Linked DNA regions of Callithrix jacchus. The protein of the gene in region 2 purifies or fractionates together with the protein of the main gene of each other region. This does not show direct contact. Links are inferred from orthologs where the notes say so. Each region holds a gene or a part of one and is shown on either strand. Other genes may lie near its edges. The genes, in order: PDE6D and INPP5E.

Region 1 (3,804 bases), on a different chromosome or scaffold from region 2:
TAAAAAAATACAAAAATTAGTTGGGTGTGGTGGTGGGTGCCTGTAATCCTAGCAACTCAGAGGTTAAGGCAGGAGATTCACTTGAACCCAGGAGGCAGAGGTTGCAGTGAGCTGAGATTGAGCCACTGCAATTCAGCCTGGGCAACAGAGAGACTCTGTCTCAAAAAAAAAAAAAAAGAAAAAGAAACCCCAAAAACTTAAAAAGTAGAGACAGGCATGATGGCACATGCCTGTAGTCCTACCTACTTAGGAGGCTGAGGCAGGAAGATCACTTTAGCCCAGGAGTTGGAGTCCAGCCTGGGCAACATGGTAAGACCCTGTTTCTAAAAAATATAAATAAATAAACAAATAAAACCCAAAAAACAAAAAGCCTAAAAGTAAATAACCTCAATTTAACAGATTCAATATGGCTTTCATAAAGGACCTGTTGAAAGAGATGATCCAATATTACACAATTATCTGTGGGACTAACTGGTTTTTTCTTTTTCTTTTTTTTTTTTTTTTTGAGACAGAGTTTCGCTGTTGTTACCCAGACTGGAGTGCAATGGCACGATCTCAGCTCACCGCAACCTCCGCCTTCTGGGTTCAAGCAATTCTCCTGCCTCAGCCTCCCGAGTAGCTGGGACTACAGGCGTGCACCACCATGCCCAGCTAATTTTTGTATTTTTAGTAGAGATGGGGTTTCACCTTGTTGACCAGAATGGTCTGGATCTCTTGACCTCGTGATCCACCCGCCTCGGCCTCCCAAAGTGCTGGGATATAGGCGTGAGCCACCGTGCCCGGCCTACTGTTTTTTTTAAACAGAGTCTCACTCTGTTACCCAGGCTGGAACAGTGGGGCAATCTTGACTCACTGCAACTTCCACCTCTCGGGTTCAAGCAATTCTCCTACCTCAGCCTCCCGAATAGCTGGGATTACAGGCATGTGCCATCACGCCAAGAGTTAACTTGGAACTAACTCTTTAGAAAGTACTATTACTGTAACATTTGAGAGACTAACATCCTTCCCACAGAAAATGGGAGGTGAGAAGTTATTGACAGTATTTTTGGACAAAGGACAAACAAATTATTCTTTGAAGAGGAAGTAAAGCTATAAATATGGTGAGCTATTCGCCAAAAAACTGTAACCAAGTATTATACTCAAAAGTTTAATTTTTTTTTTTGAGATGGAGTCTCGCTCAGTCGCTGGGCTGGAGTACAGTGATGCAATCTTGGCTCACTGCAACCTTTGCCTCCCAGGTTCAAGCGATTCTCCTGCCTCAGCCTCCTGAGTAGCTGGGACTATAGGGACATGCCACCATGCCCAGCTAATTTTTGTATTTTTAGTAGAGATGGGGTTTCACCATGTTGGCCAGGATGGTCTTGATTTCTTGACCTTGTGATCCACCCGCCTCACCCTCCCAAAGTGCTAGGGAAAACAGAATTATTAATAGGACTTTGCCAGATTCTGTTAAAGGTGATCTAAACAAAATACAGAAGTACCAGAAGTATGATAATCAGGAATGAGAGCAAATTAACATAGATTTGGTATATATTAAAGGCAGTCTCCTTTCATGTCATTTCATTTTATCTTCATTACACCTCTGTAAGACAGAATTATTAATTCTGTGTTTAGAGATTAAAGACTAAGGCTCAGAGAAATAAAGTATATTAGTGCCCAAGATGACACAGGTAGTCAGGGTGAATCAGGAATTTAAACCTGGTCTAAAGGTTTTTTTTATACTTTCCACTCTATCACACTGTCTTTTTCATATGAAAAAGGTCAGGAACCTGGAAACCTAGATACCCTTGGATGCTCCTTTTACTCTATTTCTCAGCTGAATTCTCTGCCCACTGAATGGCATCAGGAGTCCCACCTGCCTGGAATGCCTGTTTCTAGACACACTTCATAATTTCCTGAGACCTGCTCACTCACGTTAAGACGCTTGCTGGCATCATCTGGGACTCGGGTGCTGCCTCTATCAAGGACTGCCAGGTATTTGTGGAGTTAGGGATCACAAAGCCAAACTCGAAGAACCATTCTGAAGGAAGAAGGAAAAGCCTGGGTGAGCAGGTGCCCCAGTATAAAGTTTAAGGGCTCTTTGTTTCCCTCCTCTAGAGTGAGCCTCTTTCTACCATGAAAACCAACAAAGGAAGCTATCAGCAACCTCCCAGACCAGAGGCATAAAGAAAGACAGGGAAGCCTCCTTTAGGTTGTCGTCTGAACCACACCAAAGGCTTGCTTCTCCTGATTTGAGGTCTAAAGGACTAGGACCAGCAAGCAGGATACAATATAAGCAGCATTTTCTTAGATGTAGGCTAGATGTGAACTATACATAGATACATAGCTAAATTCACCTGGAATTAGCTCAAAGGGGCATATGTGCCCTCTTACACTGCTTGGTGAGAAGTCAATGCAGAGTGGCCTTGCCAGTCAAATCTGTATGATACTGTATGTAGAGCACTGTACTAGGCCCTGCTCACAGCAGCTTCCTCCATGACCGTATCACAATACAACGTCAGTGCCTAAACCAGGCACCACCCATGCTCCTAGTGTCAGAGACCTCAAAGCCCCTTGTATTGGCCAGCGTTGTTTTGGTTTGTTTTCACTGGGGATCCCCAGTCTTGCAGGGTGTAGGAATCCTACCACAAACTGAGTTGTAAAAGGAGTTATCAAAGCACTGCTTTAGTTCACTGGTGTGCCTTTTGTCCTGGTTGCCCTAAGCCCTGATTTCAGGCATGTAGGCAGCAGAATACCTTCTAGGCATTGCCCTTTGAAGTAAACTTTTTGTTCCAGGCGGAATTTTTCCATTTGTTCTATTGAAGAAAAATTCAGTTCTCGAGACACTGCCTTGCACTTGAGGATTTTCTTGGGAACACGGGCTGATAAGAGAGAAACAAATGTTCAAGCCATTCTAAATGAAAACCACCTGACTATGATGCTTCAGATTTCTGGGAGTTTCTTACAGCTGATTTAGACAACACTTTATTTATTACATTTTGGATAATGCCTTGGTAACTGCATTACACTTTGTATGGCTGAAGGCAGAGGTCTCCAATTGGTCACCTGTAACTGAAAGATACTAGACCTTCACAGAACACCACATTTTGTTCATTTAAGGGCCTCATCTAGCTACTCTCATCAGGAAGGAGGCTGCATAGGTACCTTCTCTCTACTCTCTTCTGGTGATTTTAACCCCTTCTTTTATTTGAGGGAGATAAAAATGAAAAATTTTCTTTTGGAGAAAAAAGCTGAGATCTTAGTTATCTTTGGATACGTCCTAATGGTAAAATTTCAGCACAAAGTGGGGTTTTGGGAAGTGGGATGGGCGTGGTGGGTCACGCCTATAATCCCAGCACTTTAGGAGGCTGAGGCGGGCAGATCACTTGAGGTCGGGAGTTCGAGACAAGGATGGCCAACATGGTGAAACTCGTCTCTACTAAAAATACAAAAATTAGCTGGGCGTGGTGGCATGCGCCTGTAGTCCCAGCTACTTGGGAGGCTGAAGCAGAAGAATCGCTTCAACCCAGGAAGCAGAGGTTGCAGTGAGCCAAGATTGTGTGACTGCACTCCAGCCTAGGGGATAGAGTGAGACTGTGTCTCAAAAAAAAAAAAAAGAAAGTAACTGAAACTGTCAACAACACATGGATTAACATGCTGTGTCTTGAGGGGCTCACCAGCCTATTAGGTATGTGTTAACTTAGCTCTCTGATGCCCAGGCCCTAGTCTGGCATTGGTGACGGCCCCGTATAGACAAAGGGTTGGAAAGTACCTTCATGCTCCACACCAGGAACAGACAGGTCTTCTGTTCCTTGCCAGAGTATC
Region 2 (4,235 bases):
CTCACCATGTTTGGACCTGGCTGAATGAGGGGAGGGCACTGTGTTCTCACTCAGCGTCTCGGAGGAGCCGCGGGGTTCGTTGAGTGTCAGTTCACAGCTTTTGAGAGAGGCCCTAGTTACTGAAGTGACTTTCTCTCCTGCTGCAAAGACATTTCCAGCCTTGCTTTCCCTTCTGTGCCCTTATTAGGACCATAGGTGATTCTGTGCACCCAAAGTGCTGGCCACCACCCACCCACCAGGTGTGGCCCAGTCACTGGGAAGGAGCCGACTGTCTGACGTGATGGCTCCGGGTGGCCATCTGGGGTGAAAACGCAACTGTGACGTTTGATTTGGGCTTCATTTTGCGTGTGGGAGCTGCTTAGACTCACTGTTAAGGAGGCTGGATGCCGTTCTCTAAACGGCTGCCCTTCCCCCTTCCGTGAGCACTTTCCGTGCTGCAGGCCATGTGACCCACTTTCTCACCCGGGGGACACTGGCTTAGGGGTCGGTAGCATCTTGGGGACAGCAGCTCTGGCACCTGGTATTTCTGTCCCGATGTCCTGGTGGACTTAGCCCTGTGGAACTCAGAGTTCAACGCTGATGCAAAGCTTTAAGGCTTCTCTGACTGTTCTGAAAACTGTTCATATCCTTGTTATGTCTAAAGAGACAAAAGATTTAAATACTAATAAAACTCAATAGATAATTTCTGCGGGTTGGTGTTTTAAATTTCAGTGTAGAAATGGTAGAATGTGGGATCAGCACGGGCCCTTCCTGGCTTTCTGTTTCACTTGATCATTTAGCAGAGACCCCCAGGATGTTTCACAGGCGTGTCTGCCTGATCCATTTGTCCTTGTCACTTGGAGAAAGGCCTGTCCCTGTGACGGGGCAGCCCGCTCTGTCCCTTGGTCAGCTCGTGTGGTTCCAGGGATCTCCTCCGGTCCGCCCTGCCTGCTGTTCTGGGGTCGACTGCCACGATTTTTGATTCAAGAAGCTTCCTCCAGGCGGAAGCAGCTATTTTTCCTAAATGCGAATTGTTACATTGCAAATTGTTGAATAAAATATTTTGCGCTCCTTCAAGCACCTTCACCTGTGGTTCCCTTTGGTTTGCTAGAAGCGCGTGAGTGCAGGTGTCCGCAGGCCTGGCCCTCGCCCAGGTCCTCGCCGGGACCTGCCGGGTTGCCCGGCTGCGGGTTGGGGGGGCGTGGGAGCCCTGTCCGGGCCCCGCGCGGCGCGGTCCTCCGGCCGCCAGGGGCCGCTGTGGACGGCGCGCGGGGCGGAGACTGGGCGCGGGGGCGGGGCCGGGGACCGGGCGCGGGCCCGCGGCGGTCGTTGCTAGGGCCCAGTCGGGCAGACTCCGCCTCCGCGGGCGCGAGTACGAGGTCGGCTTCGAGTCTGCGGGTCCGGCCGGGCTGCCCGGGTCCTGCCCTCCTCCCAGGCGGCGTTCCGGTCGCGGTCGAGCCTCATCCGCGACAGCGCCCACCCGCCTGTCCTCTCAGGCCCTGCCTGCGGCCCGCCCTGGGATCGGCGTCGGGGAGCCCGGAGGGGCCGCGGTACCCGGGGTCCGGGCGATGCGGCAGCCGCCCCCGCCCCTCCGCGACCACTCCCGGCCCGAGCGGGAGCCGCTGCGGCCTTTCGGCTCCGTGCTGCGCCACCGACCCCGGACCCGGCACCCGTGACCCCTCCCGGGAGGGCCCGACCATGCCGTCCAAGGCGGCGAGCCTGCGGCCCTCGGAGCCGGCCCCGCGGCCGCCGGAAGGGAGGATGCTCCAGGGACCGCTTCCCGGCGCCGACGGAGCGCTGGCCCCGCGCGAGGGGTCCCCACCCGACGCTCCGGGCCCCGAGAGCCCCGCTCTGGGTTGCAGCGCTCCGGCCACGCTCAGCGGCGAGGAAACCCCGGCCCAGGCAGTACCCATCGCCCCGCGGCCCCCCGCCAGGCCTCGGCTGGAGCGAGCCCTGTCCCTGGACGACAGAAGCTGGAGGAGGCGGCGTTTTCGAGGCAGCCAGGAAGACCTGGAAGCCAGGAATGGGACCAGCCCCTCCAGGGGCTCGGTGCAGAGCGATGGCCCCGGCGCCCCCGCCCACAGCTGCTCCCCGCCCTGCCTGAGCGCGTCCCTGCAGGAGATCCCCAAGTCCCGCAGGGTCCCGGGCAGTGAGAGGGGGGGCCCGTCATCGGGGGGTGACCCCCTCTTCGGGGTGGCCAGCAGCGCCCCGAACCTCCTTCACGGAGACGCCACCGTGGCGGGGAGCTCGCCCAGGCTGGCCAGCCTGCTGCCCCCGCGCCCCCTGCCTGCCCTGGGCCTGGACATCGCCTCCGACTCCCTGAGGACCGCAAACAAGGTCGACCCGGATCTTGCAGACTACAAGCTCCGCGCGCACCCCCGCCTGGTGCGCGCCCACAGCAGCCTGGGCCCCGCCCGGCCCCGGAGCCCCCTGGCCTGCGACGACTGCTCCCTTCGCTCGGCCAAATCCTCCTTCAGCCTCCTAGCGCCCATCCGCACCAAGGACGTCCGCAGCAGGTAGGGCGTGGGGCGCAGCGCCCGCGCGGCCTTCGGTGTGGTGTTCAGGAGCAGGCTGCCTGAACCCTGCCAGTGGCTTCCCGTCAGCAGCGTTTAAGATGCCTAAACAGAAAAAACGAAGCCGGTCTCCCGCAGCCACCCGGTCTCCCAGCCCCTCCCCGCAGCAGCGAGCGCCCTTCCCGGCTCTCCCAAACTTCCTAGAACTTTTCCTGTGCGTTTCAGAACCATTCCTGGGCATGATGTCGTGTTGAGGTAGATAAGATGGCACCCTGCATACAATTATGGATCTGGCTGTTTTTCTTTAGTCTTGGGAATTTTTTTTTGAGACCGAGTCTCGGTCTGTCACCCAGGCTGGAGTGCACTGACCCAACCTCGGCTCACTGCAGCCTCCGCCTCCTCGGTTCAAGCGATTCTCCTGCCTCGGCCTCCCGAGTAGCTGGGATTACGGGCTTGCACCACCATGCCTGGCTAATTTTTGTATTTTTAGTAGAGACTGGGTTTCACCATGATGGCCAGGCTGGTCTTGAACTCTTCACCTCGTGATCCACCCAACCCGGCCTCCCACAGTGCTGGGATGACAGGCGTGACCGCCGCACAGGCGGGCCGAGGCGTGGGAATGTTGTCAGCGTGTGTGACCTGCCCTCTCGATGGTTTTTGTTTGTTCCCTGCTCTGTTGCCCAGGCTGGAGCACAGTGGCGTCATCCTGGCTCACTGCAGCGTCCGCCTCCTGGGTTCAAGGGAAGTGATTCTCTCTTGAAGCGATTCTCCTGCCTCAGCCTTCAGAGTATCTGGGATTACAGGCGCCTGCCACCACACCCGGCTAAATTTTGTATTTGTAGTAGAAACGGGATTTCGCCATGTTGGCCAGGCTGGCCTCGAACTCCCGGCCTTGGCCTCCCAAAGTGCTGGGATTACAAGTGCGGGCCCCTGCGCCCAGCCCGCCCCCTTTGTTTTTTCTGCTGCAAAAGGCCCAAGATGTACTGAAGCGTACTTTCCGTCAGCCGCTTGCTCACGGGGAACATTTTGGTGGGCTCCAGCTGGAAGGAGCTGCAGCTGAAAGGAGCTGCAGCTGAACCCATGACCTCTCCCCAGCCTGGTCTTGTTTTGGGATCTTGGTCTGGGGGCCTCTCCCGAGCAGAAGCACCGGTGCGCCTTCGTTTCTTCCCCTCCCCGCTCCATGCTACCCACGTCTTGTCTGTCTGCTGCGGTGGGAGGCAGGGCAGGTGTGAGAAGGGAGAGGTGAGAGCTGGTTTCTGCTTTGGTGTCCGGGGCGCAGTAACCCCTGACGACGGACTGGGAGGCTTGAGACAGCAGAGCTGGACTGTTTCCCAGTTCTAGAGGCCAGAAGTCTAAAATCTCAGCTGCGGCCAGGCCAGCCTCTCTCCAGAGGCTCGGGGAGGGCCCTCCCTGTCTCCTCCTGCTCCCGGGGCCTGGTTGCCCTTGGCTTGTGGCCGCACGCCGCGGTCTCTGCCTCCGTCTTTACCTGGCCTCATTCCCATATCTCTGTTCCCGTCTCTTTTTATAAGGACACCGGTCGTTGAATTTACTGCCCACCCTAAATCCAGGGTGATGTCAAGATCCTTAATTAAGTAAATCTGCAAAGACCCCTTTCCAAATAAGGTCCCACTCCCAGGTTCTGTGGGTCGAGGCAGATGTGGCTTTCGGGATCACTCTTGAGCTCACCGCAGACCCGGGAAGTAGCCTTACCTCCCTGCACCTGGGTTCCTCTGGCAGGCAGGC

What was found.
Region 1: the proteins of INPP5E (region 2) and PDE6D purify together in Homo sapiens (affinity purification with mass spectrometry; 3 studies listed by BioGRID and IntAct, with this or other methods). This does not show direct contact. The link is inferred for Callithrix jacchus from reciprocal best matches to the Homo sapiens genes INPP5E and PDE6D.

What each region holds. Positions count from the first base shown.
Region 1 is NC_133507.1:153,172,824-153,176,627, forward strand, and holds part of PDE6D (retinal rod rhodopsin-sensitive cGMP 3',5'-cyclic phosphodiesterase subunit delta), read right to left. Parts: coding exon 3,752-3,804; intron 2,862-3,751; coding exon 2,736-2,861; intron 2,021-2,735; coding exon 1,915-2,020; intron 1-1,914. UniProt on the Homo sapiens protein: Promotes the release of prenylated target proteins from cellular membranes. Modulates the activity of prenylated or palmitoylated Ras family members by regulating their subcellular location.
Region 2 is NC_133502.1:184,909,061-184,913,295, reverse strand, and holds the start of INPP5E (phosphatidylinositol polyphosphate 5-phosphatase type IV), read left to right. Parts: upstream 1-1,328; 5' UTR 1,329-1,677; coding exon 1,678-2,495; intron 2,496-4,235. UniProt on the Homo sapiens protein: Phosphatidylinositol (PtdIns) phosphatase that specifically hydrolyzes the 5-phosphate of phosphatidylinositol-3,4,5-trisphosphate (PtdIns(3,4,5)P3), phosphatidylinositol 4,5-bisphosphate (PtdIns(4,5)P2) and phosphatidylinositol 3,5-bisphosphate (PtdIns(3,5)P2).